Ovis aries: one gene and its partners. The protein of the gene in region 2 interacts with the protein of the main gene of each other region in a pairwise test. Links are inferred from orthologs where the notes say so. Each region holds a gene or a part of one and is shown on either strand. Other genes may lie near its edges.

Region 1 (10,644 bases), on a different chromosome or scaffold from region 2:
TGACCCAGAGTGTGAGGACGGGCCCTCCTCCAAAGCGCCACAGGGCAGCCTGCGGAGGACGAGGCTGTCCCACATGGACCCGTCGAGTAGGCAGTGTGGGAGCCTCAGAGCTCTCTTCCCCACGGTGATAGTAAGCCCACTCTTTCAGCAACATCACAGAGGCCAGAGACACAGACTGTGCCTTACACGGAGACACGGCTGTTTCCTGGGATTTGCTTTCAGATGCTTCAACAAAGACTGTGTGATAACTGTGTGTGAGCTCTCCACCCACATGGTTTAAGCTAACTTCGTCTGAAGGACCCTCACTGGAAATAAAACTCCAAACACACAGAGTGTACAGGGAAATGCTAACCAAAGGCCCAAACTGCCACAAAGGCACTTGGGCTGTTTATTTCCTGAACCACAAGAGAGGCTTGGTTAGCACTGCTGGATATTAGAAATCACTTTGCATTGGAGAAATGAGTCGTTTTCAAGGTGTATGGATTGGCTAGAAATTGTAGCCCAGGATGAACAGGGTAAAAGGAATTAAGGAGCCAAACTGGAATGTCCCTGAAAGTGAGTGGAGAACAGTCACCCGTGCCGACTAGAAAGTCAGCTGAATCTCTCGGTTAAAATAACTCTTCTATCTGTTCTAAATGAACTTTCACACAAGCGCCACCGAAACACCTACAATGACAGACCCTGGGGACCGCATCAAGCTTACTGAGGCAGGATGACTATTGCCAGCAGGTGTTGAGAAGAGACCTGGACAGCTCACTAACTTCAGACGATTAGAGACTGCAGACAATCTCTCAAAAAGAACTTAGCAATTGTGAATGATCAACGATCAAGTCAATCTGACTTAGGACCTTTTGCCATGACAACTTGAGGTATTCTCAGAAACAACTGGGGAGGTTCTGAGCAGAAATTGAGTTAAGTTACTCAAACACGCTGAATACTAATGTTAGGTGGCCTCATTTATACTCAAAAACAGAGTAGGAGCTGGGGGAATTTGGGGTTACCTTTAGAGTCCTGACCAGGACCCCTTACCCTGCCATGCCCAGTAAATGTGTGGTATTTAATGACAGCAGGATTTCTGAGCTCATTTAAACAACTGTTTCATAAAAATCAATTGTAAAGCACTTTGCTTTCATCTTTATTTTCCCCCTCATTATAAAAATAACAAGCGCTTACTAGAAGTCTTACATTATGAAAACTGAAAGTTCTCCCAGAATCCCACCCTTGGGAATGATTACTGCTCTCCTTGGTGACTATGCTGCCAGATTACGGGGCATACGGTAGTTAACAAGGGCTTCCCTGACGGCTCAGCAGGTAAAGCATCTCCCTGCAATGCAGCAGACAGGTTTGATTCCTGGAGAAGGAAACGGCACCCTGCTCCAGCAATCTTGCCTGTAAAACCCCATGGACAGAGCAGCCTGGAGGGCTACCGTCCACAGGGCTGCAAAGTCCGACACGACTGAGCGGCTAAGCAAGCACACAGGAGTAAATAAACAGGACCAGACGGAATCCAACCACCAACAGAATACAAGCTAATCTACTCTTGTGCAAGGTTTCAGAGTATTGACAAATAATTCAACTGACCAGTTTCTCCAGAAAGCTATATTCATTAGTTTTCAAAGAAGATTCAACCACACAGTAGATGGAAACACCTCTAAGATTTTCCAAGCACTCGATATTAAACAATGCCCAAACTATTAAAAGTGAAAAATAGTTAAAAAATAGGAAATAAAAAATAACGAATCGATACAGAGGAGAAAACCATTCAAAAAATTATAGCAGTTTGTTATCAAAACAACAACTCTTAAATTCCAGCAATTATCATGACTTTAAAACTGGAGTTTAGGAAACAATCACCTCTTTACCATCAAACACAGCCAGAAAAGTTCTCCAGTTCTTCTCACGTGACCAGCCGGTCAGTACAAGAGGATACAATGTACATGACTGTTTCCAACTCTTTCAGTTCTAAGTGAAGTATATTATAACAAGAATTGCTACATATGAAAGAACTCTCCATCAGCAGAGGCCTGCAGAATGTGGGCCTTGGAACCAATTCAGCTTTTACAACTGGTAAAGGACAGTTTTGATTCGACTTCCCAAAGCTTTGTTTGCAAGGCTTTCAAAACATCTTCCATCTATCAAATGGAAAAAAATAGAAAAAAATACATATGATTAAAATCATACATGGTTAAATATGATTTAAATGTTGATCATTAATATAATTGCTGCTATGTTATACATTATATATATCTGTGTTTATTTAATGGAATTCTATTTAAATAAGACATAAGCCTATTAATAGCAGCTCTCAACCTCTGATCCATAGCTTTTACATTTATTCACCACTATCTTGCCTGTGACAGGATGTTAACATTCAAAAACAAGGCTGTTTTCACCATGAAAATTAAATCAAATACTGATTTAAAGATATATTTCTATTTTAATAGTTTTAGAATACATACTGCTTTGATTTAGCATGGAACGTCTTTATAATTTTTTCCATAAAGTTTTGGCTTAATTTGTAGTTTGGTTCCCAGTAAATCAACTTTACTAACAACTGAAATAAAATAAGCACTCTCTCACCATGAATGCTAAGATCAAAAGAGAAGACACAATTAAGAATTATTCATGGAGCAGCACTTGGTCATTGACTGGAAGTTGTTTATACAAAGATACAAAAAGTGCAGAACAAAATTACCTCCTTTAGAGATTTTTCTATTTCAACTCTACTTTCAAGATTAAAAAGCTCTTTGTCTTCTGACACAATTTGCTTTTCAGATGACCCTAAAACATAACTGAAGTACAGTACAATACAAAGTTAAAATATGAGAAGGGAGTAAATATAAAGTTTATATTGATAACATTAAAACTCAAAGTATATTGAAGTATATATTAGTACCGAGTAAACACATAAAACAATTACTTTTGTTAATAGAAACCTACATAGGAAGCTGAACTACATGAAATCATGTTATTCTCCATAACAGCTTTGTCCAAGAACTCTACATATTTCTCAATGCTATATTTCATTATTGGGAATAAAACTGGCTCTTTAGTAAGCTGGGTGGTACAACAGTAACATTTTGAAGTTTTAAAAGATCCTGAAGAAGCCACTGTTTTATGTAACTTTTCAAGAACATGTGCATTTTCAAGTTTTTGTGTATTTTCAAGTTTTGACTTTTAGTATGTAATCTGTAGCATCAATTGTTGATTACCTAGATTTCGGCAACTTCAACAGTTATTTTATAACTCATGTTTTGCTCTGCTCTCTGAGGTGATGACATGCTGCTGCTGCTGCAAAGTCGCTTCAGTCATGTCTGACTCTGTGAGACCCCACAGACGGCAGCCTACCACGCTCCCCCGTCCCTGGGATTCTCCAGGCACGAACACTGGAGTGGGTTGCCATTTCCTTCTCCAATGCATGAAACTGAAAATGAAAGTGAAGTCGTGAAGTCGTGTCCGACTCTTAGCAACCCCATGGACTGCAGCCCACCAGGCTCCTCCATCCATGGGATTTTCCAGGCAAGAGTCCTGGAGTGGGGTGCCATCACCTTCTCCAGATGACATGCTACAATTTGAAAATATAACTGGCCTAGCAATGGAAGAAAACAAGCCCAGCTCTGGCAACCAAATAAATCTCAACAGTGGAGAAGGTGCTGTTATTTCTCAAGAAAAAAACAAAACATAAAAACCTTCATTCGTTTGTATTTCTTTAGAAGTCTTTCACCACGTGTAACAACTTCAGTACGTCACTTCTGTTAAATATAAACAGTCTTCTGTTGGAAACCCAAGATTAATTGATTAAATTTCTAAAAAATGTCATCAAAGGAAAAATTACAGAAGGCAGTTAATATCTTATTTAGAAAAGAAAAATGAGATGGGGAAAATTAAATGGCACTGATTAATTTATAATGCTGTAAATAAACATTACGGACAGCATCCATTTCTAAAACACACCTGGTTCCCTGTCATTTAAATTCTGCCCTATGAGGTAACTTTTCCTTAAATTCAACTATTGGGGAAAGAACAGCTTCGATACTAGGATCCTCTGTGCAGAAATACAGACATGGATCGTTTTTAAAGTTCTGTGCCAACCATACTTGTTTAAGATTTTATGTCGTTCATACTTGTCCTCTCCCCCACATAATTTCCACAAGTCTTGGTAAAATTCCCATGGAGATTAAGGGAGCAGTTGTTTGGGCATGAGTCTTCTATTTACATATTAAAACCAAATCAGATCTGATCTCTCCCCAGGTGGGCCTGCATGCTTTACATCAATGAGCAGTACTTGCTACATTATTCTCTTGTGTTAAAGGCTGTAAAAAGTTTGCAGATTTCACAATTTTGATCCAAACTTGTCTAGTTTCAAAGATGGTGGTAAAACTGTAGTAATCAAAAAATAATTAAATGAAAAATTATAATAAAAAGAACACTATTCTAAATTTTTTTAAAGAGAAAATCTAAGAAATTCAACAAAGTGACAACATACTTCAAGTAATGAAAGTGTAGGCACTTTTGTCCTTCTTTCTTGATATTTAAGGTTTCCTAGGCATCTCTAAGAAAACCTAACTGGTGGCTCAGCGGTAAGAACCCACCCACCAATGCAGGAGATACGGGTTCGATCCCTGGGTCAGGAAGATCCCCTGGAGAAGGAAATGGCAACCCACTCCAGTATTCTTGCTTGGAGAATCTCATGGACAAAAGAGCCTGGAAGGCTACAGTTTATGAGCTAATAAAGAGTTGGACACGACTGAGCTACTAAACAACAATCTCTAAAGTCTTGAGAGTTACATCATTTCCAGGATAAGTGAAAAGACATTGGGGTCAATTAATTTTGTTTCCAATTTTAAAAGGTTAATGAACTAAAGGGTCAGTAAGATATATGTCATCAGACCCTAATTCACGTTCTCGCCAAACACCTTTTAGAAGTCTTGAAAAATGAAGGTACTTCCTTGCATCTCTCAAAACAGCAGGCAGTTATTTACAGTCCTCTAGGAAATAGCTGGACTTTGCATTTCTACTTTTCCAGAACAAAGGGACTTCTTTCCCAACCATTTCTGAAATTCCTATTTTTTCAAGTTATTATACTAGACTAAAAACTAGAGGAAAAAATAAAATGGACAAAATATATTGATACACATAATTGCTTTAAAAAAAATCCTACTAAACTAAATTTAATTAAGAAAAACAGCAAATTTTTACTCTACAAAATGTTCTCACAGGGCTTTCTTTTACAATTTAGCATAACAGACTTTTCCAATAGCAAATAAATCAGGTCCAAACAACAACAAAAATCACTTGCTTTAGGGTCAGAAATTATTATTTAAAAACATATTTTAACCAAACAATGTTTAGTCTCCAAATTTTCATACCAATTTGTCTGCAAACAACTTTCTGAGAATTCAGCGATGAGCTATTCATGTATGCCTCAAACATACCTTTCAATGGCTTCAACACTAAGGCAGAACATGTCCCTCTTGTAGTCTAGATCCTTGGGTGTGCACCTGTACAGGTAGCCGAGGCTGAGCGAACAACCTGTGCAGTACAAAGTCTGCAGGATGCTGCAACAAGAAACGTCGCCCTTTAGTGACTGGTTACCACAAACACCCCGTTGTTGAGATCTGTAAACACCTAAACGTTTAAGTTGCTGAAGTATGTTACCCTGACCCTACTAGGTCCTATGTATAAAAAGGAAAAAAAAAAAGATAGTAAGATGCTTACATTTGAAAGCACTTCCAGGTCACACTGCCTTCAGTATCCAGTGACAGACAGCATGCACACAAGTGACAAAGCAGAGAGTATGCTGGATTTCCTTGGTGGTACAATGGATAAGAATCCACCTGCCAATGCAGGGGACAAGGGTTCGATCCCTAGCCCAGGAAGATTCCACATGCCGTGGAGCAACTAAGCCTGTGCTAAAGCCCGAGCTCCTAGGGCCCATGCTCCACAACAAGCCACCGCAATGAGAAGCTCGAACACCGCCAGCTACAGAGCAGTCCCAGCTCGCCAGAACTAGAGAAAGCCCATGCACAGCAATGAAGACGGAGCACAGACAAAAATAAATAAAAATTCAGAAAAACAAAAAAGAAGATGAGAATATACTAAGAAGATGCTGCTTTTCTAGAATGTAAACGCCTCAATCTGGTATTAAAAATTAACTAAAATTCTGAAATAAGGCAAAAAGATCGTACATGTTCTTTAAATGTCACATTGTCCACCGAGGATCATTAATGCCCTGGGGCAGGGATAGGCAGATTTTTTTCTGTGATGAGTCAGAGAACAAGTATTTCAGGCTTGCAGGCTACGTGGCGTCTACTGCAACTACTTGTCTCTACCACTGTGGCATGGTAGCCACCACAGATAACACATGACTGAAAGACCTGCGCTCCAATAAAAACATGTTTATAAAAACAGGCGCTTGGCCCATGAGCTATAGTTTGGCATAAAGGATGGGGTTCAGGTGATACAAGCGAGCAGAACTCACAACACTGACTCAGAGCAAGAGTCGATTCCCTTTTCAGTTCTCTAGAAATCTTGATTATGAAGAACAGAAGAGTCTCAGCCTGGTGCTAGAGGTCTTTAATGTGTATGTCACAGCTGCAAATCTTTTAACTGTAAGAGGACAGAACTCGGGCTCAGAACCAGCCAGCCGGGGGTATCTCAGCTAGAATTTAATAACATTTGTTTCCACCGTAATTATTGTCACAGCTACTTTCGACATGTGCAGACTTGTGGCTCAGACGGTAAAGCATCTGTCTGCAATGCCAGAGACCCGGGTTCAATCTCTGGTTTGGGAAGATCAGCTGGAGAAGGAAATGGCAGCCCACTCCAGTATTCTTGCCTGGAAAATCCCACAGATGGTGGAGCCTGGTAGGCTACCGTCCATGGGGTTGCAAAGAGTCAGACACAACTGAGCGACTTCACTCACTCACTCACTCAACAGCAATTGATACATTCACAGCAGTCATACAGATTCCTTTTAAAATAAACAAATAAAAACTCAGGGTCAATGTAATGAAAAATATCAAGTGCGCGACAGCAAAGCTGTAAGCTGACATCAGAATGACTGGAACTGGGAAGTAGAGGACACTCTGCAGGAAGCAAAGGGACAGCAAAGCACCATCATTAGCTCCTGCTAACGGCCTATGTCCTTGGTGAGGCTGTAAACCTCCCCAGGCCTCATTTTCTTCATCAATAAAGGGAGAAATGATCCAAGGCTGGGTTTTCCAAATTGCTACTACCAGCGTGCCAGCAGTACAATTTCTGCTACATTCGCACTCCACCTGTCCTATTATGACTTTAAATTCTCCTTAAAGAGAGTAATTTTTTAAATGAAACTATACTTTATTTGAGTAGGACACACTAACATTACTAGAAATGAAAAACCAATGTTTTAAAATTGAAAAAAAAAAAAAAAAAAAATAGCGGCTGAGACTCTGAGCTCCCCAGTGCAGGGGGCCCAGGTTTGACCCTTGGGGATGAAGGAACTAGATCCCACGTGCCACAACTAAGAGTTTGCACACTAAAGAGTCCACAACCAAAGAGCAAAGATCCCAAGAGCCACCATGAAGACCCTGTGGGGCCAAATAGATAAATATTAAAATAAATAAAAAATAATAAAATTTTAATATGATTATTCATTTCTGTTGAATTGCTTGTGTACCACTTATTCACATGCATCAGTAAGACAACTTTTGGGCAACAATTCTTCAAAGCAGAGCTTCCCATTTAGTGTGCTGAGGATGCTGCTTGCAGTAGACGGTGGCAGGTAGAGCAGGACAGTGACCCCTTCAACACCTGGAGAGATAAAACAGGGCCTGGGACAGCTGGAGCCCCTGTGCCACCGGGCGTGCAGCCTTGTCTTTACCGCAGTGGGCCACATGTCTGCATGTGCCGCATCAGCATTATCTATGGGAGCTACGGCATGAAAAGTCGGGAGCATTTATCTAAAGCATTCTTTGGCTCAGAGATTCCACGATAAAGATACTTTCTTTTCCTGTTTTTATTTTCAATTTTCAATTTTGGTCCAAGCCAAACACCCAAAATGGAAGTGTTGGAACAGGCCTTGAGAAGTTTAGAAACTCTTCCATCTTAAATCTACAGGCGCCCACTGTCACTCAGGAAACCACCTGCCAATGCAGCAGATGTAAGAGACGTGGGCTCGATCCCTGGGTCAGCAAGATCCCCTGGAGGAGAACACAGTAACCCACAGCAGTATCCTTGCCTGGAGGATCCCATGGACAGAGGAGCCTGGCGGGCTACAGCCCACAGGCTTGCAAAGAGTCAGACACGACTGAAGTAACTAAGCATGCACAATGACTGATTTGATATCACCATGAAAAAGGGCTTCCCTAGTGGCTCAGACTGTGAAGAATCCACCTGAAATGCAGGAGACCTGGGTTTGATTCCTGGCTTGGGAAGCTCCTCTGGAGGAGGGCATGGCAACCCACTCCAGTCCTGTTGCCTGGAGAACCCCCACGGAATCCTCCTCCAGAGAAGCCTGGAGGGCTATAGTCCTTGGGGTTGCAAAGAGTCAGACACGACTGAGCAACTAAGCACACACACACACCATGAAAAAAGTTTTATCCCAAATTTTACTGCTGATGATCTTTTCAAATATTTTTATTTAAAAAAATGAAAACATACATACTCATATAGATATAGCTTTACTCACCAACAATTATCATGTTTACGTTTGGATAGCATCTGTTCCTCATTCACAGAAACATTACAGGTAACACCTGGAAAGACGTAACAACAAAGTATTAATGTGGTTTGATATAAGACACATGCAGGTATTTAGAGAACTTCTAATTCAACTTTAATTTTAGAACTCAGAAAGCCAGAAAAAAAACAAAGGCCCAAAAGTCACACACACACAGTGGTTTAAAACTAAGGGTACAGGGTCTCCTGGAAAAACATAGCAGAATAAGAGTTATTTCCTTCCCTTCCCAGAAAACACTGAAATTAACAAAATGAATAAAATTAGGAAGAAAAAATTCAATTGATGGTAAAATTTAGGACAATCAGGGAAGAAAAAATTCAACTGACGATGAAACTTGGAACAATCAGAACCTCACATCACAGACTATCAAGTATACCCGCCAAACACAGTGAAACAGGGATTACCGCAGAGTGAGTGAGTGAGGTTGCTCAGTCGTGTCCGACTCTTTCCGACCCCATGGATGGCAGCCTACCAGGCTCCGCCATCCATGGGATGTTCCAGGCAAGAGTACTGGAGTGGGCTGCCATTTCCTTCTCCAGCAGGCCACAAGTCTGGGCATACATTTCCAAGTCTCAAATACAGAGCTCATTTCCCTATAAGCAGCAGAGAGAAGGCAATGGCAACCTACTCAGTACTCTTGCCTGGAAAATCCCAAGGGCGGAAGAGCCTGGGAGGCTGCAGTCCATGGGGTAGCGAACAGTCAGACACCGACTGAGTGACTTCACTTTCCCTTTTCACTTTCATACATTGGAAAAGGAAATGGCAACCCACTCCAGTGTTCTTGCCTGGAGAATCCCAGGGACGGCGGAGGCTGGTGGGCTGCCGTCTATGGGGTCTCACAGAGTCAGACATGACTGAAGCGACTTAGCAGCAGCAGCAGCAGCAGCAGAGAGGGTCCACAGGAACCCAGCCCCAAATCTTTTAGACCACAACTTGAACAGGGGTCACAGCTGAACCCTAGAAGCAACAGGAAACATTCCCAGAGCATCCAAATTCAGGACATACCAAAGGTGGAGGGACATGAAGAAAGGACATCAGAACAGACTCTTGAGTTCACCTCCTCTACAGTCTACCTTAACTCAGTAAACCCCACTGCCACCCGCCCACCGCTCAGATCAGAAATCGGTGTCACCCTACACTCATCATCTCCTTACCCTGCTCCCCTTCAGACACTCCTCTGAGAAGTCCTGTCCGTTCTACCTCATGACCCTCAGTCCAGCCCCACACCACCACCACCTCCCCTCCCTGAGCAGCTGTGCTGGCCCCGGACTGACCTCCCCACTCCCATGCTTATTCTTCTCTTCAGTGCATCCTCCAAAGAAAAACCTAAGTCCTATCACTCTCCAGCTTAAATGCCGCATTCACTAAAATAGACTCTCGTTTTCATTTTTAGAATGAAGATTAAGATTCTCAATTATAACAGCCTACAAAGGCCCTCGGACTGTGGCAAAATCTCAACCCAGATATATACATGTGGTTCTAAAGCAGCGACCCTGGGAAAAAACCTAGACCTCTATCAACAGGGGCAGACTGGGAGGATGAACAGCATCTCCATTAAGGATGTCACTTAAGTGGCACTTCCTATTTCTTCTTAGCACAGGACACACACTAACTCGCTTAGTCCTCCTAATTACCGCATGTAAGTATTATCCTCAAGTCTACAGAGAAAACTGAAGCAGAGAGAGGCTATGTAGCTTGCCCCAGGACACAGCTAGTAAGTGGAAGACCAGGATTCAAACCCACGCAGTTGAGGGCCATCACCTACACAGGTGAGGTACGAGAGGCAGGGGTACAAGAGGCAGCTGCCAAAACTGTGAATTATGCCCAACTCAGTGACTTCACTTTCATGCATGGAGAAGGAAATGGCAACCCACTCCAGTGTTCCTGCCTGGAGAATCCCAGGGATGGCGGAGCCTGGTGGC
Region 2 (10,644 bases):
AAGAAAGAAGAAAAAAAGAAACTAAGAAACTACATTTTGCTACACTGGGACAGAAACTGGACTTTCCAAATAGCTTCTCCCCAGAAAATAAAGAAACACCAACAGTAGCCAGAGTTCTTACACTACTATTAAAAAATAAATTAGAAAAGATTTAAATTTTTACATCCAGTTTGAGATCAACTTGAGAATAAAATACCTGCCTAGCAGCTCTTTTGTAAAATGTTACTATATGAAAAAGAAACTAAGCATTTTACCTTCTTATTTCTAACAGAAGTATTATGTAGAAAACACACATCCAGTTTCTTTAACATTGAGAGACTTAAGTGTCACGTGTTCATAGGAGGCACTGCTGGTGGAAGACCCTAGAGCATAATGTACACCACAGCCCTCAGCCCTACAAGTCCCAAGAGTTACTCACATAACATGCTTTTCGTTGTGTGCGGGTCTGCTTTTAAGAGCAACTCTAATCATTAATATTCAGGATATAGGTAATCAAGAACTCTAAGAATGACAAGACTTTCCATTGCACAACAGGTACATGATATTTTGAGTTTTGTACCTTCACACAAATTCTGAAGGCAACATCATTTATAAAACTAGTAGGCAAATGTATAACATTTTTTAATAGTAAAAACTCATGATAAATATCTCCCATGCCAAAGTATTAGCATATATTACACTCTGGCCACCATATAAATTAGTTTCACTATTAGAAGCAGAATCTACATCCTTCAGGCAAAGATTACGTAAACAAGTCAAGAAATCTGTCTCAAAATCTGAATAGTCATTAGTCATTCAATGAGAGGCTCTTAGTTCCATAAATAATACCCAGTTAGTAGTAACATATCCCAGTGATTGCCCAAAGTGAAACCTTCATGTAGAGTAACATTTTACAAAAGTTACTGTATAATATATTCACACATAACAAAATCAAGTTAGCACTTTAATTCATATTTTTCAGGATAAATTCTACTTTCTTAAAAGTAAAACTGAATTCACAGGAAAAGGACTAAAGTGCTAAATTTTTCTTTTATTATAATTTTCAACGATCATTCAAAATACCTAATGTAATTAGGATGGTTATTCCTAAATCATATTTTTTTTAAGTAATAATTTTTCTTAAAAAAAACAAAAACTGTTTTCCCCCAATTTGAAAAATTTTACTCATTGACTTAGTGGGGAATGCTCCTTTGGTTATTACATACAACAAAATTGTAAAACCACAAGAAACTCAAAGGAAGAAGTTTCCTATTTAGCAATACACCTTAAATGTCCAAACCTACACTAAAAGCTAGAAAGTAGGAATTCCTAACAAAATGTCTCAGCTCTCCTTAAAAACAGCAGTTAAGTCACATGAGAAAAAGTCTTTTTATGTAAACACCAAGAACTTTTAAAAGCGTCAAAACACAACAGCAAAACTTAATCCCAGTTCATTAGCTTAAAACAATCTATCCTAAGTAAAAATTACACTGAAAAGCCTAATGTCAATATCTTAAGCTTTTTAAGAGGCTTCAGAAGCATGGTGGACAGTGTGCTCCAGATCTGCCAGCACGTAATCTATCCACATACAAAGTTAATTTCATACATAAATAGCCTGTGGAGTTTGTCATCAATTCTCTTCAGCTTTCAGAAGCAATAACCATAAATCACACAGGCCTTAGGTCTATTACATGTATTTTTTCATTAAAAGACATTGAAGGAGGATCATGAAGTCACTTACATCCATATTTCCACCTCCAAGAAAGACTACACAGAATGCACCTTTAGAAGGTAGCAGCTTAAGAAGCAGTCTGCTTTTTTTACATTAATAAAGTCAAGAACCTATATGCAAACAGAAGCAAAGCCCCCTGACGACTCAAACCTTGCACAGACCAACAGGGTTGACTAAAAACAGCATACAAGCCTCACCCAGCTTCATCTAGATGGTCTTTAAATGCTGTTACTGGCACTTAAAAGATTTCACCAGTCACAGGACATAAGGGACAAGACGCGGGTACAAAGTGCAATGCAATAAAGAGGGCATTTCTAATGGGCTGCATGCATCTAACGGCTGCTCAGTCTCACTCCAGCGGTGGGTGACGCGACTAAAGCAGCGGATCCTGACTGACCCAGACAGGCATAAAAGGATGGGCCACGGAGCATGGAGACCCTCGGAGAAACAAAGGGGAACCAAGAAGACAGCACAAAATGATCACTATTGTTCAGCTCCTCAGTCCAAAAATCCATACAATGCAAAATGAAAACACTGTAAGACTATTTAGGTTACTAAATTACAATTCCTGCCACCTGATCAGAAAGCTCTAGATGGGCTTCACAAATACAGGGAAGGTACAAGGCAGTCAGTGTCCCCAAAGCCTGGCGATGGTCCGAAAGAACCAAAGCACATGAGCAGAGGGTGCTTCAGGATGGTTCCTCTAAGTTAAGCTAATATTTTCCACCACTACAGAGAGCACAGACCGCATCTCTACTGTTTACCTTGCTAACCCTGGAGTCTGGCACAGAGGCAGCACTCAAAGAATGAACAAGTATCTTCCTAGGGACAAGTATCTTTCTAAGCCCAAAATGTATGCAGGGAAACCTACAAACTTCTCAAGACTGCCTACATAAGAAAATATATAAAACAAAAATCCAACAGGTGACTTTACCTCAATTTTAGCATACACCACAGAACATAATTCCCTTATTAACAGCTTAGATAATTGACTTTTCTCCAGTTCTACTGATTAGAATAGAAATCTCTTACATTTAAAGAATACCTAACCAAGTCCTGCTCTCTGGTCTATTTTAGAATCAATATTTGCTCTGAAAAGTAAACTGGTACTACAGTTAGTTTGATGAGCTGGTTAAATAAATCATCAGGAGAAACGAAGGCACCAGTACAGGGCTGATTCGATTTCTAGCCACCCCACAATGACCCGCTGGGAACCAATGCCACAATGACTTTTTCCCTCTGTAATATAACAATGCAGTCCTACACCCTAGCCAGCTAGAGAACTACTACACAGTGCTGGTGTGGACCACTGTCCACATGGGTCCAGCCATGGAACATGGGGGATTTGACATAAAGCCATTATCAGCCATTCACTGATGGTTAAGTCAACTCTGCCATCTCTTTAAGTGTGAAGAACAGTTTTTTAAATTGCCAGCAAGAATGCTTCTCCTGTAGAGGCAGCCTGAATGCAATCTAGACGTGCACAGTTTTTGCTTTTGCACACTATAACTTACTACCGGACTCTATGGAACTCTCAGAAAGACACACGCTACAGAGTAACTCATAAGCACTATTCAAAAATGTATGAATGAGTAAAAAAAATCAGTTTCCATTAAGACTGTATTTCTCTATGTCACACTTTAAGCCTGACAAAACAAGGACTGCAGAAATAAAAAGACAATAATCTCTGAAAGACCCAGGACCAAACTACACACGCAGAACTGGACCACAGAAATGTCTCTCTCATAGGAAGTGAAATTAAACCAAGGACTACAATTATCTGCTTTCCAGTATCACCCCAGTTATTTCATCTGCTCCTCCCAGCACATACCTCATGCACAATCCAGAGCAATTCAAAACATCTTTTTCCTGCTCTTGCCACTGTTCTGTTCATTTTGAAAGGTATCCAGCATGTACCTTCTTCTAAATTTGGTTAAGAGGGCCTGTTCTATTTTCAGTCATTATACAAACCTACCGCTCTCAACACAACTTCAGTCAAAAAAGACATACTTCATCCTGAGTATGCGCATTCTGTAACCACTGCATGCGAGAACACACCGCCTGTCAGCATCACAGAGAGAAGAATGCAACCTCTGGCTACTTTACCTCTGACTTTAAAACAATATATGATACAGCCACAAATTTAGAATCTGTTCTTAAATGTAATTCAGTAGTGAAACACCATGTTCTAAAGGGCATTTATAGCAACACAGCAAATAACATTAAGTAAATTCACAATATTCAGTATCTAATTGATGTATAATTATTGCTAAGACTACCCTGTGTTTTTATCAGGTATATGTTCATAATTGTGTCCATCACAATTTTTAGACTGTACTGGAACAGTTACTCAGAAATTTCTTCAGTGCTAACACAAAAGGAAGACTCATAAAAATGCACATCAGTGTTCTGCACTTTAACAGTAAGAAGCTATAACTTGAATGCATTCAGACCTGTAGCAGGCTGCTGCTGCTGTGTAAGAGTTGCAGCCATGGCAACAGCTGCTGCGTTTGGCATGTTGCTGAAGGGGGTGGGTCCAGTAGTGACTCGGGGTGCGTTCTGCCACTTCTTGGCTTCTGCTCGCCTGGCTTCAAACACATCCACAGCATCTCCCAAGAACATTTTCCTGTAGCCAAGGTACTGTTCTTTGAGCACCTAAAGAAATGAAAAATAGAACATGTTAATCACGTCTTGTGCTGACTTTGACAATATGAGCGTGAATATAACCATGCAGTAAGTTAGCAAAGACAGATCAAAAACACTGCCAGCATCATATACTTCATCTAACTTGCCAATCACAGTGCTGGCGCTGCACATGCATGGTGTGGGAAGTGGTGAATTTGACAGTTCTACCACACCTTTGTATAGTGTCTTCCTGCTTTTAGCCATATGTCTTTACAATCAACTGCCTGCATATTCTGGCTTCCTGAGGCCCTCTTTAAAATAAGAGAGCTTGCAGACAAGCAGAGTAGTATCTAAAATTCCATTTTAAATATACTAGTTTTTCATGACAGCTTCCCCTTTAATGGCCAACCTTTGGATAACCTAGATATAAACAGCTTTAAAAAAAAAAAAAGCTTACTAAATACATAGATATATGTATATAAAATATATGTTAAATACCTTTTAAAAGGTGCAGGTGACACATATTAAAATGTCACCAAAGCAAAGAGAGCTTGGAGGGTATACTTTATCAATACTGTTTGATTATTTTACAATGAGAATAACATGGTGAAAGTGAAAGTCGCTCAGTCGTGTCTGACTCTTCGTAACCCCATGGACTATACAGTCCATGCAATTCTCCAGGCCAGAATACTGGAGTGGGTAGCCTTTCCCTTTTTCAGGGGATCTTCCCAGGTCTCTCACACTGCAAGCAGATTCTTTATCAGCTGAGCCACAAGGGAAGCCCAAGAATACTGGAGTGAGTAAAGCCTATCCCTTCTCCACCAGATCTTCCTGACCCAGGTATCAAACTGGAGTCTCCTTCATTGCAGGCGAATTCTTTACAAACTGAGCTATCGGAAGCCCAAGAAAAAATTACCAAGTTCATAAGATGGGTAGGATTACCCAACACAACACCTTCCTTAATTAAGGCTATGAATAGGAATGGTTCTGTTTCACCCTGGAATTATTAAATACTTTCCTTAAGAGTTTAGATTAAATAAATCAGCTTTATACTACTTTTTATATATCTGAAAACTTTCATAAGACAAGGAAGAAAAACATCTGCACAACACAGACTTCAAAGTGCCAAGACAGAACCACCTTCAGCACTTTGAAAAACTAAACACTGATTACAAAGTTTCAAGAGAATTTAATAAAAATCCCTCCTTTAAAATTATTTTTTAAAAATTAAGTTATTTTAAAGATTTGTTTAAAAATTTTTAATCAATCAAAGCAAAAGGTCTGAACTATGCTATCACTTCAAAAATAGCATGATTTAAGTGGTTAATTTTAAAAAATTCTATCACCATGCATCAGAATAAAAATGAAAACACTGGTAATCTCCATGAAACTCTAATCTATACAGTTAAGAATTTATCTAGATTCAAGTTTGGACGCTTTGAATTTTAAAGATTTTCTCTGACCATATATAAATCCAAGAAAGACCAATTATATTTGCTTGATTGGTAAAGTATACCTATATTTAGCCCAAGTAATTTTTAAAAATGAATGTCTTGCACAATACTCAAAATATTCAGTGGCAAATTTTTTATTATTTGATAAATACAGTTTCCTGTGTTTAGAAGGGACAAATGTTAGCAAGTTTTTTTATGAAGGGTCCAATAAACACTTAAAACACACACAAAATTCAAGCAATGGGAAATGATTCTGCTACTAAGAATATTTACCTTCTATAGTGCTATAAGAGACGGAAATAACCAAAATGTCAAACAAAAGACAATGGGTTAAACAAACTACACATACATGCAACAAAATCTTGCTTAACTACTAAAACGATGGCAAACAAGTACATGTATGAATGTGGAAAGTCATTTACAATATGCTGATGGAAAAAGTTAACACACTTCACACAACACTTGACCAGTTGTGTCTGGGCATATTATAGATTATTTCAGAGTTGGTCTTTTTCACTTACAAGTAATTTGAGCTATTTCTGTGATGAGCATGGACACTTTTGTCCTGCAAATGAACAAATACTTCACTTGGTGCAGATGTCCAGATAAATGAATACGGAATGAGAACTCACCTTCACATTTTCATGAATAGACTGAAGCTGTGCAGCTAAAGCTACAAATGTTTGATAAATTTTCTGCATAGCCATTGACAAATCTATAAAAGAAAATCATATTATCACACAAATACATATATAACACAATCAATATTATTCTTTTTACTTGAGTCCATTTCTTGGTACGGTTAACGTGTAGGATGAAAAAAATTACACCAATACTGCCAAGGAAGAGAGAAGACAGCAGAGCAGACTGAGAGAAGGACTTCTCTCTATCAGTAATCTGGGGGAGGTGGGCCCTAGGACATGTGCCCATTATATCATAATCGTTCATAACAGCATTTTATATTTGTAAGAAATAAAGATCTAATCAATGACTTTAAAGGAAACTGTCTTATGGCAGCTTAAGACAACAACTACTAAAAGCACTTAAAAAAATGACCACAGAAAGCATGTTACCTTGTGGGGTGATATGTGAATTGTTCGCTTGGGTGGCAAGATGGTTCTCCAGCTCCTCAATCTGCTGTCGGTACTGTTGGAGCTGCACCTCAAACTGCTGAACCAGGATCCTGAAGTAGCTACACGAGAACATTTACCAAGTCAGACCAGTGTGAAAACACTGCTTCCTTCATATTCAAAACTCCAACAAAAACAGGCCTCTGTTTAACTATGGCCTTTGAATTAGTCTGATGACACAATATACCTTTAAGTGACACAAGTATTACCGAAACAAAATCTCAAATTTATAAGTTATCAAGGTATCAAAAACAGATTCATATCCTTACTCCAATCACAAAAAATCTCAATTAAGGGATAATCTACAAAATAACAATATTTTTTTTTAAATGTCAAGGTCATCAAAGAAAAGACTGAATAAATGTTGTAGACTGGAAGTGAAATAACAACTAAATGCAGTGTGAAAAGAATCCTAGAACAGAAAAAATACACTAGTGGAAAAGACAGTAAAATTCAAGTAAATTCTATATTTTGGCTAATGCAGCAGCAGTGTGAATTTCCTCTTCTTGATAATTTTTTATATATAAAAATTATTTATAAGCTGAAAACACCACAGGGTACTACAGAAGTATATAATTACTATTACTATTCTGATAAACATAACCAGAGAATGCTAGAAAGATAAAAAGAGACCTTGAATAGCATGAAACACAGTTGGAACTGATTCTATAAGAAATGGGGAACTGAAAGTTTTTACAGTGGCAAATCATGATTCAGTCCATTTCAGAATTAGCTCTGATGGCAGTATGAAGAACAAGACAGCAGGATAAGATACTGAGGAAGTCCAGCAAAGCAGCTCACCCCATGCTCATCTGAGTAAGGCAATAGGAGTATCACCATCATTGTCACTGCCTGAGTCTGACCACTACACTGTGGTTATGAAAGAGAATATCCTTATGTTGAAGAAATAGACTCTGAAGCACTCAAGCATTCAAGGGCATCATTCTGACAAACAATTCTACACAGGGGAAATGTGTTTATAAACATGGACAGCAAGGAACAAAACAACTGCAAATTAAAAACGCTAACATGCGGGGAATCTGGGTGAAAGATAGGTGAGAATTCTTGGTTTTATTCTTGAAACGTTTTTGCAAATCTGAAATCAAAACAAAACTTAAAAAAAGAATAAGGGACCAGGAGTCCAACGAACCCCACCCACCCAGAAGCTCAGGACTTCCATCTCCGTGCCTCAGGCTCCCCATCTTAGACAGGACTCTGACAGCTGAAGAGGATTTGCGCAAAGTCAGATCCGGCAGTAAAGAGCCAAGCCACCCAGGTGGTGTATGGCAAGCATCTGACAATGTTCACTATTATCATCTTGCATAACACAAAAGGATATGGAAACAGACGATAAGATATATATCACATGTGTGGAAACTAGATGAGTATACAAGCTGGTACAGGGGGATTTTTCAAGCTGCTTATCTACACTTCACAATTTTTCTTCCTGTAGATTATTATGTATGCAAATAAAAGCTATGGATGCAAATAAATTTATGGAAATAAAAGGGTTAAACTACACTTAGTATGCCCTGTTTAAGGAAGAGACTATCATAATATTTTTAAACTGAAAGTACTTATGGTATAATCATAAGTTCATAAGTTTCTAACACCTGCACAACGTAATCAAGTGGAACAGACCTTATAAGCAATATGAAATGCAACTGCAGAAGAGTGCTTAAAAGCTCGACCTTAGCTTTCACTTACCCTTCAGTAAAATGGGAGTGATATACTTTCTCAGAATTATTATGAGAATTAAATTTTTAAAATTCACACAAAGTACCTAGACTTGCTAAAAAGTGAACTAAGAAATCCATGGCCTGTATACGGTTTTTATTGTTCTGCTATTTTAAAGACAAACATTTATTTAACTTACTCAGCAGGAGCTGTATTTTCATGTTGCAATCCAGGTGGTGTTTTCTGGGTTCTTAAAGCTATTTCAGCATTTTTTAACTCCTAATATAACAGAGGTTTTAAAAAAGAAAAAGCCAGTTAAAAGTCAAGCTAAAAATACCAACCATCTCAGGATTTCAACAAAGCCACTCTCAGAGCTTCATATGCTGTGAGAACATATTATGACTGAAGCTCCTTCACAAGGCGCTGAAACCTCCTTTCAGGCAGGACAAACTATAGTTTCATGAACAAATTTCATAATAAATGTAAAAACAGCTGCTGTTCTATCTTAAACTATGCATTTATGTAGGATTCATGAAGTTTATTCATCCACAGATACAGACATTACTACTTAAAACCTATACTATATAACCATAGAAAACACTGACGTAAAAAAAACAAGATAAATAACCCTGAGGATGATGACAGCAGCAGCACTTCCTGTGCACCAAGCCCTTTGCTACAGGTTCTGCTTCTCTAACCAACGTCACCTCAGGCGGCTACTGTGGAAAATCACTGGGTTAATATATCTAGATTGCTTAGAATACTGCCCCATACAAAGTAAGCACTCAATAAAAACCAGTAACTATTACAGTAATTTAGAAGTACATGTGCTATGTGGTTTTCTTATGCACAAAACTTCATAATTTTAAAAAGACCTATTTCTATTTAAAAAACAAACAAACAAACAAATGAAAAACCCTACAACAAAATGACACTCAAGTTTACCTGAGCGGTTTCTATTTTCAGTTTGTCAATATTGAGAGTGTTCCTCTGCAATCCACTGGCGGCCAGTGACAAAAGCTGCTTCAGAGCTTTAATATCTTCCTGGACTTTAAGCATTGCTTTTGAAGACATTCTACTAATTTCTTCTTGAACCTGTTTTTGTTCCTTCACAAATTTCCTAAAAAAAGAAAACTGAGTTTTTAAAAAAAAATACACCTTTGGTTTTCTACAGAAAAAAAGTACATTTACCACATGTAGGTCAGAGTTTTAAGTCCAAGTGTTTTGAGAAGCAACTATTAAAACATTCATCTACAGTTCACAGAATGGCAGTTACAGAATTTTAATTCCTTCATTCAATTGCTCTGCTTCTTTACCTTTTACAGGCATTCCAATGTTCCCCAAGTTTAAATGCTCAGGAGGAGGAGGAGATGGCCCCCCTGAAATCCACACGCACCCGCCCACGTTGGAGTCTGACTTAGCTCCTGATGCACTTACTGGAGGTTGTCGACGTCCTGGCAGATGACAGCAGGCAGAGTCTCATCCTTCAATGCTTTACTGTCCCTGAGAAAGATGCCACAGGCGCATTAACATCCGAGATCATAAGAAGCTGGCAGTTGAATTCTACTACAGTGTGTTAAAGCATGTGAAAACAGAGCAAATATTCCTTATTTATAGCTTTCCTGGATGATTTTAAAGTTCCTCATAAAGAGTAATAAACTTTCTGACCTACACAACAACTAACAATTCACTTGACATGGAGATTTCTAAGAAGACTGGCATTTGTTACAAGTACACATAGATGCATTTGACTAAATGTTTCAGAACAAAATCAGAGAATACTGCAGGTGGGATGAGATATTAAACTAAGTTTCTCCAGCTCAAAAATCCCAGGACTGACATTTCATTAAGTTCAAAAATATTACAGCATTCATTAAAGAAAGAAAACCTGCCAAACTTCTCACAGTGAGATGCTCACAATACTTTTACTTTATTATTTTATAACTTCAATTTGTTCTTCAACAAAATAAGACCTGGGGGTAGCTGAAAAGAATCATGACTACTTAACAAAGACAGGAATAAATAAAACTCTTCAAACACACAAACA
Region 3 (10,644 bases), on a different chromosome or scaffold from region 2:
CCAGGCGGCGGAGCATGCCCACAGCGGGGTGGGCAGGGCGCCACCCCCAGCTCCAGGACAAGCAGGATACAGCTGAGGTCGGGTCAAGCGTCCACACCGACCGCGCGGGAGGCCTCTTCCGTGACCGAGTCTCAAGCCCCTGCAGGCGCGGCGGAAGAGGCGTGAGCCTGAGACTCACTCTGTGTGTCTGAGTCCACGCCGTCCTCTCTGGCAGACCTGGGGGCGCTCGTCCTGCTTTCTGGACTAAGAAGCTGGTCCCCGGGCTGCACCACAACTAAGATCACAACAGAACAAACAGAAGCGTTCCAGAGCATGTCGACCACTCCTTTCTGTTCAGATTTTTACATTCGCGCAGCCTTATGAACATTTCCCAAGTGACAGACTAGGTCGAAAGAGGTTGAAATTTCCTAGATTCAACTTGGGACGATTTCAGACCCACTAGACTCGGGTATCAACCTCTGGGTCAGTCTAAAACGCTTCTACACTTGAGTCCCCAGTCCTCCTGCTCGCTGCCACCTCTGACCCTGAGGGCTTTCATCAGGCAGCTCATGATCCATTACTGCTAACAGCATGCCTGGAGCCCCAAGAAGCCTGGCTTTGGTAAATCACTCCCTGGATCCTCGTTTTCATGTTACTACAAATGCACAGATGAAAACAATTTAAACAATGACTCTTCAAAACACCACTCTATATTTAATTTAAAAATACAAAACATCAAGACACCCTCTCACATGTAAACTATAACACCCAATTTTAAAAACATTTTGACTAATGACCCTTGTTAAGGACACTGTCCCTTGAAAAGAATAAGACACTTTTATTTCAAAATTAATACAGTATAGAAACAAGCATTTCGACTATAACAGAAAACAAGGAATTTTTTTGAACGTAATCTTATTAGTCTTATGATGATTTACGACTAAAAGAATGAAACAGTTAACCAGGACCAGAAATCAAAGGGCCATAAATTAGATGCATTTTTTAATGAAAGCTGAAATTCCAAATCTACACAGAAGCAACTAAATTCTAGTGCCGACTCCAGGAGACTGGAGATGAAGGCAAGGCCCGTAAATCCTCCACCTCCTCACTCCCGAGTCCCAACTCAGCACCTGGAGAGCAGGTGGCAAGCGACCACTTGCGACTAGCCCTGTGGCGCTGACCGCCGCTTCAAGGGCCAGATGACAGCACGCCCCCGTCTCAGACTCACTGGCCTCCAGGATGAACCGCACACAGTGGATGAGGGAGCAGGCGTGGGTCACCATGTTGGGAGCGGCCAGCAGGCTCCAGAGGCCGGGCAGCTGCAGGGCCAGGCAGCAGCAGTCCAGGCCCGCCTGCAGGTCTAGGCTCAGCGGGACCCGTGCGTGGATCAGATGCCACGACAGCGCCTGTGGGGCGGGTTGTGTGAAGGAAGGCCCTGGGCACCGTGGGGCAAGTCCAGAGTGTCCTACGGAGCCATGGCCTCGGGCCACCACCCCGAGCTCCTCTAGCCCAACCCAGACCCGCCTGCTCACTGGGGGACGCCCGCCTCATCTGGTTGCCCTGCCTTCAGCCTCCGCGCCGCCGGCTCTGACCACTCAGGCTGCGGGCCAGGCGCTCCCCTAGGACTGCCACAGCCTGGAGGTTCCCACAACCCAGGGGGGATCCAAAAGCTTGGGGGTCCCACAGCCCACAGCCTGGGGGTCCCACAGTCTGGGGGGCTCCCAAAGCCCGGGGGTCCCACAGTCCACAGCCTGGGGGACCAACAGCCCAGGGGGGCTCCCACAGCCTGGGGCCTGGCCTTGGTCACAGTCACGGAGGCTGAACCTGGCAGTGAGACCGTGCTGGCTGCTTCCCAGCGGGTCGAGCCTCTCAGCCCGGCTTCCCTCGCCTGTGAAACGGGACCAGCAGCTCTCACAGGGCTGCAGGGAGCCCTGAACGGGGCACTGCAGGGAGGGCTGCCCTGCCCACGGCGACGGCAGAAGCCTCTGCAAGGCCACCAGGTGCCCGTCTGCCAGCCTTCCTGCGGCCCCAGCGTCTGAAGGGCGGCGCCACAGCACTCGGGCTCGTCGCCTCAGGAGCAGGCGTGAGTGCCTTCTGCACGCCGCTGTCTCCCCACAGCCAGGCGGCGGGCGTGTGGGCACTCTTCAGGTATCTGCCGTGCAGGGTGCAGGCCGGGCGCTTCTCCAGAGGGCGTATGAAAGGGCTGTGCTCCACCCTGAGCACACGCTTCGGGTTGGGGGTTATTTATAAGTGTTAACACCGAGAGCGTTTAATTCCCCACAGCTGAAAATTGCAGGCTTACTGTTCAACTTAAAATATAACAAACTTCTCAGATCACTACTTTTTAAGTATCTAAAATTAGAACACACATAACTTTTTCTTCCTGGAAAAAATTTTAAATGGACGGTTTGTACTAAATCAAAAAACTTTCTCGGCATCAAGGAAACAGACTCAAAAGTAAGTGAACAAGGCCTCCCTGCCCTGTACCTGGGAGACCCCGGGCAGGAGGCCAGGTCCCAGGTCTGACTCCTCAGAGAGCCCGCCCCCCAGCCCAGAGGCAGAGGCGCGGGGAGGGGCTGCCAACCACGAGGCAGACTGCACAGCGGAGCACCCAGGGGAGGGGCTGCGCCCAGCAGAGCGGGGGTGGGCGTGCTGCGGGACAAGTCGCTGCGGGAAGGTGGGCCTCGGGTGGGCTTCGGCCGGCCCCGCTGGGTTTCAGACAGAGGAGCCTCCTCCCTCTGCGGGCGGCGCCCTCAGACTTCCCGCCGCTCTGAGCCCGAGTTCCCGCACAGCGGCTTACCTCGAGGGTCATGACCACAAACTTCACGGTGTCCCTTTCCTTCTCAGGAGGAAGTTGCAAATGGCTGGGCAGCCTGGAGAACACCAGCAGGTACTGGGCCAGGGCCCGGGCCAGGGTGGTCAGAGTCCGATACAGCGCAGCATCCCCTGGAACAGAAGGGCCCGTGGGTGGACGAGCCCTCAGCAGAGCCCTGACCTTCCCCGCGAAGCTGACAGCGGCTGCAGACACAGCTCCTGGAATGCGCCACACACACCCCGCCGTCCCACGAGCCCAGGCCCTGTTTCCCGAGGCTGAGACTGCGCTCCTCAGGGCCCAGAGCCTGGGCCACGTCAAAGAATGGCAAAGCGGGACACACACCAAGGACACACAGAGCCAGGGCCCAGGGCGGGCTCCCGGTTGCCTCAGAGTGTTAATCCAGAGCGTTCACTGTACTTTCACTTGGTGCAAAGCCTAGCGTTGGCTCTGCAGCATTTTATAAAAATAAGAAGAGCTTTCAGTTTAGTTACCAAAGAGGTCATCCAGCTTGCTCCAGTAGGTGGCGGGCTGTGGGGGCAGGAACGGCTGGAAAGCCTGGTGGACAGCAGGAAGCTGCTGGACCACAACGGTCACGCGGTCCAGAGTCGCCATGCGAGCTGCTTCAAAAAGGGGGCTCCGCTGGCCCCCTGAGATCTCACGCATGCCCAGGCCCAGGCACGGCGCCAACAGGCTCAGGTTGAACTCCTGAATTAGGGCATTAGAGATTGAACAACGACTGTGACATGTGTTCAGTCAGGCAAGAGACACACAGCAGAGCGCAGAACACAGACATTCGGAGATGGCAGCTAAGCACGGTGTCAGCGACTTGTGAACAAGTATCCTCTCCCGCTTCCTTCACAGATAACCGACCACCCCCGTCCAACATCCGACCTGTGAGGTATGTTTCTGGACTCTACTAGGTCCTTCAATTTTTATTTACTTATTTTGGCCGAGCCATGAGGCATGTGTGATCTCAGCTCCCCAGCCAAGGAGGAACCCACGCCCCCGAGTGGAAGCGCAGAGTCCTAACCGCTGGACAGTCAGGCAAGTCCTGCGACTTTGATTTTAAAGAAATGTTTCTGCCTTCTTATTTATCTGAAGTCAAACTTAAACATGACTGAATTCTAACTGATACAGACACAAAAATCAAGCTGATGTGCCGCCCAGGAAATCAGTGGAACACCCAAGTCCCCAGTGTCTGAAAAAGACAAGTGATGTTTCAAAAGCAGCTGAAAGAAGTCACAGCAGGCATGGAAATGCGGCAAGTTTGATTGGAAAAACGGCACTCATTCGATGATGCTTCGATGTGTATTGCGCTCTGCCAGCTTTTGAAAGCCATGTAAGGATCTTTCCAGCTGATCTTTAGTTACCATTCAGAAAAGCGTGTCATCACCAGTGACCAAAACTGCGCCCTCTGGTACAGCCATTACAGCTGAGCCTTTCTTTAAAGCTGTTAAAAGTCTAATTAGCAAATTTGGAAAATTCATGAATCAGTTATTAAGTAAGCTTATCATTTGCCAGCAAATCAGCTTTCACTGAATGGCTTTTAAAATGATTTTAGCAAACTGATCCTACTGTTCTTTTTCCAGGGAGCTTTTGTTTTCACGCTGATTGGAGGGTCAGCGCTTGGAACACGCGGCTCCGTGGTTGCACCGTGAGGCTCTGTGTCACGCCTGGGCTGTCTCCTGGGCCCCTACTTCACTCCCCCTTGGTCTACTCAAGGCAGCACCACGACCCCTGAAGGCTTATCAGCTGCTGGTCCCAGGAGGGCTGAGAGGGGACCTGCCAAGACTGTGGCCAGCTCCACACAGCAGCCTGCGGGGGCCTCGCTGAATGCACTGGGTGCAGGGAGGGGCTTCCTAGCTTCCAGAACATCCTCACAGAGTCTGCTCCATCACGTGCCGCGACACCTACCGCCCGTCAGGGGCACGAGACAAGCAGGCAGACCTCACTACAATTCAAGGGAGCCTGCTTCCTTCAGGTTCCCAGGGGGTGCTAGTGGCAAGGAATCCACCTGCCAACACAGGAGACACAAGAGGTGCAAGCGTGATCCCTGGGGTGGCAAGATCCCTGGAGAACGGAATGGCGACCCACTGCAGTATTCCTGCCTGGAGAATTCCAGGGGCAGAGGAGCCAGTGGGCTACAGTCCATGGGGTCGCCAAAAGTTGGACACGCCTGGGCGACTAACACCTATACCTGACCTCCTTTACTTGCGTGAAAGGGTGAGTTAAACACGACGCCCCCCTTCAGGACTCTCGGGGGCTGAGATCACATGCTGCATCAGGCTCCCTGCCTCTAAGGCACGAAGGTGAGGGGTGTGCACCGCAAGCGGCCACACAGCAGCGGAGCAGAGCAGGCCCACACAGCGACGAAAGCGACCCAGGCCCGCCTCCCCGGCCCCCGTACCGAGTGCATCACGAAGGCGCCCAGGTCGCCCGCGGGGATCCGGCTCACCAGCTCTGCGCCTTCCAGCAGGGCAGAGTCTGACCGAGTCCAGCACTGGGCCTGCACCAGCTGCACGTACCAGTCCTGGGCAGAAGGGAAGGAGACAGCAGGCTGCGGCCGCGCGGGCTCTCGGGACTGCAAACTGGCCGCCAGCCTGTCTCCGCGCTGCCTGACCCTCACGCCCAAGGCCCAACCTGAGGGCACCGGGCTGTCCCTGGGCCACGACCAACCCTCAGTGAGACCAGATGCCGGCCACGCTGCCTGATCCCCACGTCCATGGCCCAGCCCGAGGGCACCAGGCCGTCCCTGGGCCACGACCGACCCTCAGTGAGACTGGATGCCGGCCGTCACCACTCCGCGGGCCCTCCTATGGGAGCGGCCACGAGGGCGGCGACGTGGACTTGTCACCTGTCCGCACCACCTCCTCTCATCTGCTGAAGGCACCGCTGTCCCTGAGCCTCAGCCGTGCCCCGAGGCAGCAGGCCCACCTCTGTCCACCCTGCTGGGCACCGCACCCATCGCCTCCGGGAGTCTACTCTGCTCCCTCTCCCCAGGGCCAGCACCGTGGACGTGAGGACAAGTCACACCTGAGAACTGTGGCCTGGGTCTCACTAGTCCCTGCTTGGGCTGCTGGATTCTGGGGTCCAACGACATATTTAAAACTGAACTCTCTCCCAAAAAGGAGAGGAGCCAGACTCTGCCAGAGCTCTGAACGGGCCCCAGCTCTGAGGTGAGTGGTTCCCAACGCAGGACAAGGTGCCCGGGCCCGCGGGTGGGGTGTGGATACACACAGGTCAGCAGGCCTAAGCAGAGGAGACAACTTGGGTGGTGGGCCACAGACACCGTGTTCCATCGGCCATCCAACCTTCAGCCCCTGCTAAAAGCCAGGGCCAGACTTCACAGCCCTGTCACCGATGCAACTGTGGCCACCGCCGGCAAGAACTGGGGCAGGCTGAGGGCCCTCGGGGGCCGTGCTGGGCACTGGGACAGCCTGCCACCCGAGCCACCCCACAGCCCAGGCGGACAGCAGTCCTCAGCGACCCGAGGGCCGGGGTGTCAACATGCAGACACTTACTTTGTCAGGATTCACTGCCTCCAGTGCCAGGGGCCCATCCCCGTCCAGGGGGTGGGACGTGACGGGGGGCGTGGGGCCGTGCGACCCCGGTGCGGTGGCAAGACGAAGCCTGTCCAGCAGGGAGTAGAGCCTCTGGTGTCTGGAAGCCAATCGCAGGCGTGTTAGAAGCTGAACGGGCTCCTCCAGCGAGACGAGACGAGCCTGAAACTGCGCAGAGCTGTTTCTCACCAACACTCACACAAGTCACGGTGCAAAGTCAGGCCCAGGTGACAGGCCACCTCCACAGAGACGTGGCCCGTTAGCGTTCTCCAGAAACTGCATTCACACCGAGCAGTGCCGCAGGGACACACAGCGTGACAGCCACACAGCGCTGCTCATGAACCCACAGTGGACCAGGTACGACCCCAGTGCACAAAATCTGCTCAGTCCCCACATAATACACAGCTTACACCCATCTACATTCATTCCATGACCGAGTCACCTCATCTGGCACAGGGTATTTTTATTCTTCCTCATCTAGGGGCAAAAAGAGAAAGTCCGACCTCCCGTCACTTGTTTTGAGAACAACAGAGTTCTGATGCAGACTACAATGCGAGTCACTCCACGCACTGACAAGTCACCTAAGGCCATACACTGCCCAGCAAGTCCTGTCCCTCCGAGTTAAACCGTCAACTGCTTCTCCTGAGACAGCAGTCGCAGCACACTGACCCAGCTCTCTTGCACACATCTTCCCTACTGTGCAGGAGAGAAGGTGAAGCTCCTTTTTATTCTGCAGTGATGGAAATACACTCACGTCATAGATATCAGGATTTCAGATAAAGGCCTCTAAAGCTCTGCAGACAAAAGGAGGTGATAGATTGCTATGGAGAGAGAACGCTGATGAGCTGCAGATACACTTCTGGGTAACGTGCCTCAGCTCTGCTGTCTAACTCAGCAATCGGATCACAGGTTTTGATCCTCACTAAGACAGAGCTGATCACCGGTACTTCCACTCAGAGCAGACGGTGAGTGAGAGCTATGTCGATACGCACCCTTCTCAGCCACGGGACTAACGCGGCAGAGCGGGTCTGCACTCTGCACACAGACACCAGTAATCCTGAAGGCTCTCTCGAGGCCCATCTGCCACCTAGAACGCACGTCCCTCTCTTGCCCTGTGAGGCTGCGCCCTTGCGGACCCTCATCTCCGCACCCGCAACGAGGAGCCCGGCCCCACGTTACCTCTGTGCTAACCCGCTGCTCTGCAGGTGTTCCTGGATCCGGATCAGCTCCTCCGCCGGCAGCTGGGCCGTGCTGCTCTAGAGGAGACAAGACCACGTCAGCGTGTGCGATGCACAGGAGGCCAGAACCACCGTGCTCATCTACAAAACACAACAGCTGCGTCCGGCTCCTAGGAGCGGAGGCGGACTGGAAGCGCAGGAAGCACAGATGCCAGACACACGAGAAGGACCGACGCAGCCATGCTGCACCTTCCCTCGCGGCCGTGAAGACGCCGCCTGTGGAAAAGGAACTGGCCCAGAGTTTCGCCTGCCCTGCCAAGCTTCCGGTAAAAATCAACCCGCAGTGTTATCTCCTAGTACCTGTAAATTTGCGGCCAAAAGCATTTCCACCCGGCGACAAGCAAGGGTTTCGACCACACGAGCCAGTGCACGGAGCGGCGTGCACAAAAGCTTGTCCACGTACAGCGTCAGGACGGCACCCGACTGGCTCAGGTGGATCCCTTCCAGGCACTGGAGAGTTCTCTTCAGCATGGTGGGCTGCAGAGCGAGAGGAGGACAGAGACGAGGGCAGCGGGTTTACCCAGTGGAAAGAATAGGTTAAAAAAACCAACAGGGGCTTCCCCGGTAGCTCAAGGGTAAAGACTCCATCTGTTAGCGCAGGAGACAAGGGTTCAATCCCTGATCTGGGAGGACCCCACACGCAGTGGAGCGACAAAGCCCGTGCACCAACACTCTGGGGCCTCTGCATCCCGCACGCCCCGGGCCCACGCTCCACAGCAAGAGAAGCCAAAAGCGCCAATGCTCCATTCTTCAGGCAGAGAAAACGCGCAGCGGCTGGCACCCGGGAGACTTACAGTGGAGAGGTTCTCACAGCGAGACTGAATCGCCTGGATGAAAAGGCCACTGGCGGCAGAGTTCCGATGGACGGCACTGATGAAGTCCTGCACGGGGGGCTCGTGGGACAGGCTGATCAGGTCTTGAATGTGGTTCACGATGAGCCACGTCAGGTGCTCCGAATCATGCAGGTTCTGGCACTGAGCACAAAGCCAGCAATGAGAGGCCCCCGTCCAGTGGGCACACACGGCGATGCCAAGAAGAGGCCAGGACGGGCAGGGAGGAGTGTGCTGGTTCCAGACCGCAGCCCTCACTGAAAATGCCCAGCGTCTGGACAGCGACACTGATGAGGGCGAACGCATGTCACAGAGCCTGACTCCCACCCCGCCCCCAACAACCAAACACCCTGGCCGTGACCTCCCTTCAGGCCCCAGGGACGTGCAACCCAGCAGCACGGCCCCAGGACTGAGGAGTGTGGCTGAGGGGCGCGGGGCACCCAGGGCAGTGGTGGCCGCGTGAGACTCCAGGGCAGGTGGCACTCTGCCGGAGTGCACCCTGCGCCCCCTGCCCTGGGCCTCAGTCCGGCCTCCTGATGGGAGCGCTCCAGCCACTCTTGCCCCAACTCTGTGACGAGTCAGTGGAGAGAAAGAGCTCCCTGTTGACTGCCACAGTCCTGACAGCTTCCGAATCTGAAATATGGTGCTTCCTACAGGTCCGATGGACCTTAAGGGGAGATATTTCATGTAAGGTTTAGGAGGAGATAAAAAGTACACATTTTAAAATATGTATGCTGCCTTTTCATTAAAATTCCTGATCCTGGGCAGAAATTACAAAACAAGATACATTTTCTGCCATCGGGTTAATGATTAATACTTTCTATGTGGGATAATTTGATAGTATTAACATAAAATAAATATTTTTCTTACTGTTCTGTGAAAACAGCATTATATAATTATACCAAATTACTTTAAAAAGTGGAACAAGATAGAAAAACTACTTCAACAACAAGAATGTAAAGCAAAGTGTAAGTATTAACAAACTGCTATCATGGCAGAAAAGAGCTCTGCAGAGGGCGGAGGGGAGCACGTCACGTCTGCCCCGGAGGCGGGCGGCATTCTCCGTCCACCCAGAGAAAGGAGCAAACCTCAACGAGGTGGAATGTTGGGTCCTCTCTGAGTAACAACCATTAAGGCTTAATTTTCTTCTGTTTACTTATTTGGCTTTTGCAAATTTTCTGTGTTAAATAAGAGATGACTATAATTTTATGGTAAAAAAATACTAAAAGAGTCATATTTTAAAAGAATGTCATTCAAACAGGAATCTATTAAAAACGCGGCAATTAACTTCTGGCAATTAACTTCCGAAAACCTTTTCCACAGATTAAAACAGATTTTAATCAGAACCTCACTCAGCCAGATTTGTAGCTTCTTTCCATTATTACTATCACTGAAGACAGCAAAGGCGCCCAGCGCTGCAAGAGGCCTGAGCAAGTGATAGCTGACCCAGCCTTTTGCAGACGAACCTAAACTCCTGGGACCAGACTCTGAGTCTGATTTCTCACTATAGTTAGGAGCAGGATTCAAATTTAGTTTCTCACTGGCGGAACGGTGGGACGGCAGCAGTCAGTCAGTAGCAGCATTACCTGCATGAACCCCTGACCCCCACCGCCAGCATTTGCACACTTACGACGTAGTCGCAGAAGAGAATGAGGGCGCCTCTCCGCACGATCTCTCTATTGCACATCCCCAGCTTGGAAGCCACGTCGGGATCCTCGTCCTCTCCAGACGTCTCCGGACTCAGCGACTTTGTGCTGGACAGGCTGCGTCTTCTAGAAGGAGCAACAGAAGCTCTGGCGGCGCTCCTGAGGCGGCAGTGGGCTTACTTTCACAACACTGAAGACGATTATTGCCCCGCCCCAGTTCTAACAGTCGGTTTACTCTAAATACGGCCACAGCAGAATGATGTGTGTAAGGCCACTCCTGGTGATCTACTCCTGAGCTACGGGATAAAGCACACGCGGAAAGCTAAAGAAAAGACTTAACGGGCCGGAAACTAAGCTTGACTGAAGGCCGACTCCACCCTGCAGATACACTTCCGTGCTCTCTTCCCATTGCGGCATCTGATCTCACGGCTACAGCTTCTGGAAGGCCCTGAAAGCTGTCAGGATCCAGAAGCCCCCCCACGCCCACGTTTCACTCTTCAGTTACCAGCCTAAACATGCCTGCAGGGTCCATGTTATCATGGAAACCCCAACTAAAAGCTTTTCTGAAAAATTAAT

The links.
Region 1: the proteins of NUP58 (region 2) and MIS18A interact in binary tests that used the Homo sapiens proteins (3 or more experiments, as listed by UniProt). The link is inferred for Ovis aries from reciprocal best matches to the Homo sapiens genes NUP58 and MIS18A.
Region 3: the proteins of NUP58 (region 2) and HTT interact in binary tests that used the Homo sapiens proteins (3 or more experiments, as listed by UniProt). The link is inferred for Ovis aries from reciprocal best matches to the Homo sapiens genes NUP58 and HTT.

What each region holds. Positions count from the first base shown.
Region 1 is NC_056054.1:123,903,930-123,914,573, reverse strand, and holds part of MIS18A (protein Mis18-alpha), read right to left. Parts: intron 8,739-10,644; coding exon 8,672-8,738; intron 5,559-8,671; coding exon 5,436-5,558; intron 3,774-5,435; coding exon of another isoform or gene 3,710-3,773; exon of another isoform or gene 2,811-3,709; intron 2,793-2,810; coding exon 2,696-2,792; intron 2,133-2,695; coding exon 2,052-2,132; 3' UTR 1-2,051. UniProt on the Homo sapiens protein: Required for recruitment of CENPA to centromeres and normal chromosome segregation during mitosis.
Region 2 is NC_056063.1:34,147,160-34,157,803, forward strand, and holds part of NUP58 (nucleoporin p58/p45), read right to left. Parts: intron 10,101-10,644; coding exon 10,035-10,100; intron 9,718-10,034; coding exon 9,543-9,717; intron 8,877-9,542; coding exon 8,797-8,876; intron 6,983-8,796; coding exon 6,864-6,982; intron 6,506-6,863; coding exon 6,423-6,505; intron 4,367-6,422; coding exon 4,165-4,366; intron 1-4,164. UniProt on the Homo sapiens protein: Component of the nuclear pore complex, a complex required for the trafficking across the nuclear membrane.
Region 3 is NC_056059.1:116,340,922-116,351,565, forward strand, and holds part of HTT (huntingtin), read right to left. Parts: intron 10,228-10,644; coding exon 10,053-10,227; intron 8,567-10,052; coding exon 8,387-8,566; intron 8,070-8,386; coding exon 7,893-8,069; intron 7,611-7,892; coding exon of another isoform or gene 7,606-7,610; coding exon 7,534-7,605; intron 6,523-7,533; coding exon 6,316-6,522; intron 5,325-6,315; coding exon 5,202-5,324; intron 3,500-5,201; coding exon 3,286-3,499; intron 2,926-3,285; coding exon 2,780-2,925; intron 1,386-2,779; coding exon 1,208-1,385; coding exon of another isoform or gene 1,110-1,207; intron 275-1,109; coding exon 179-274; intron 1-178.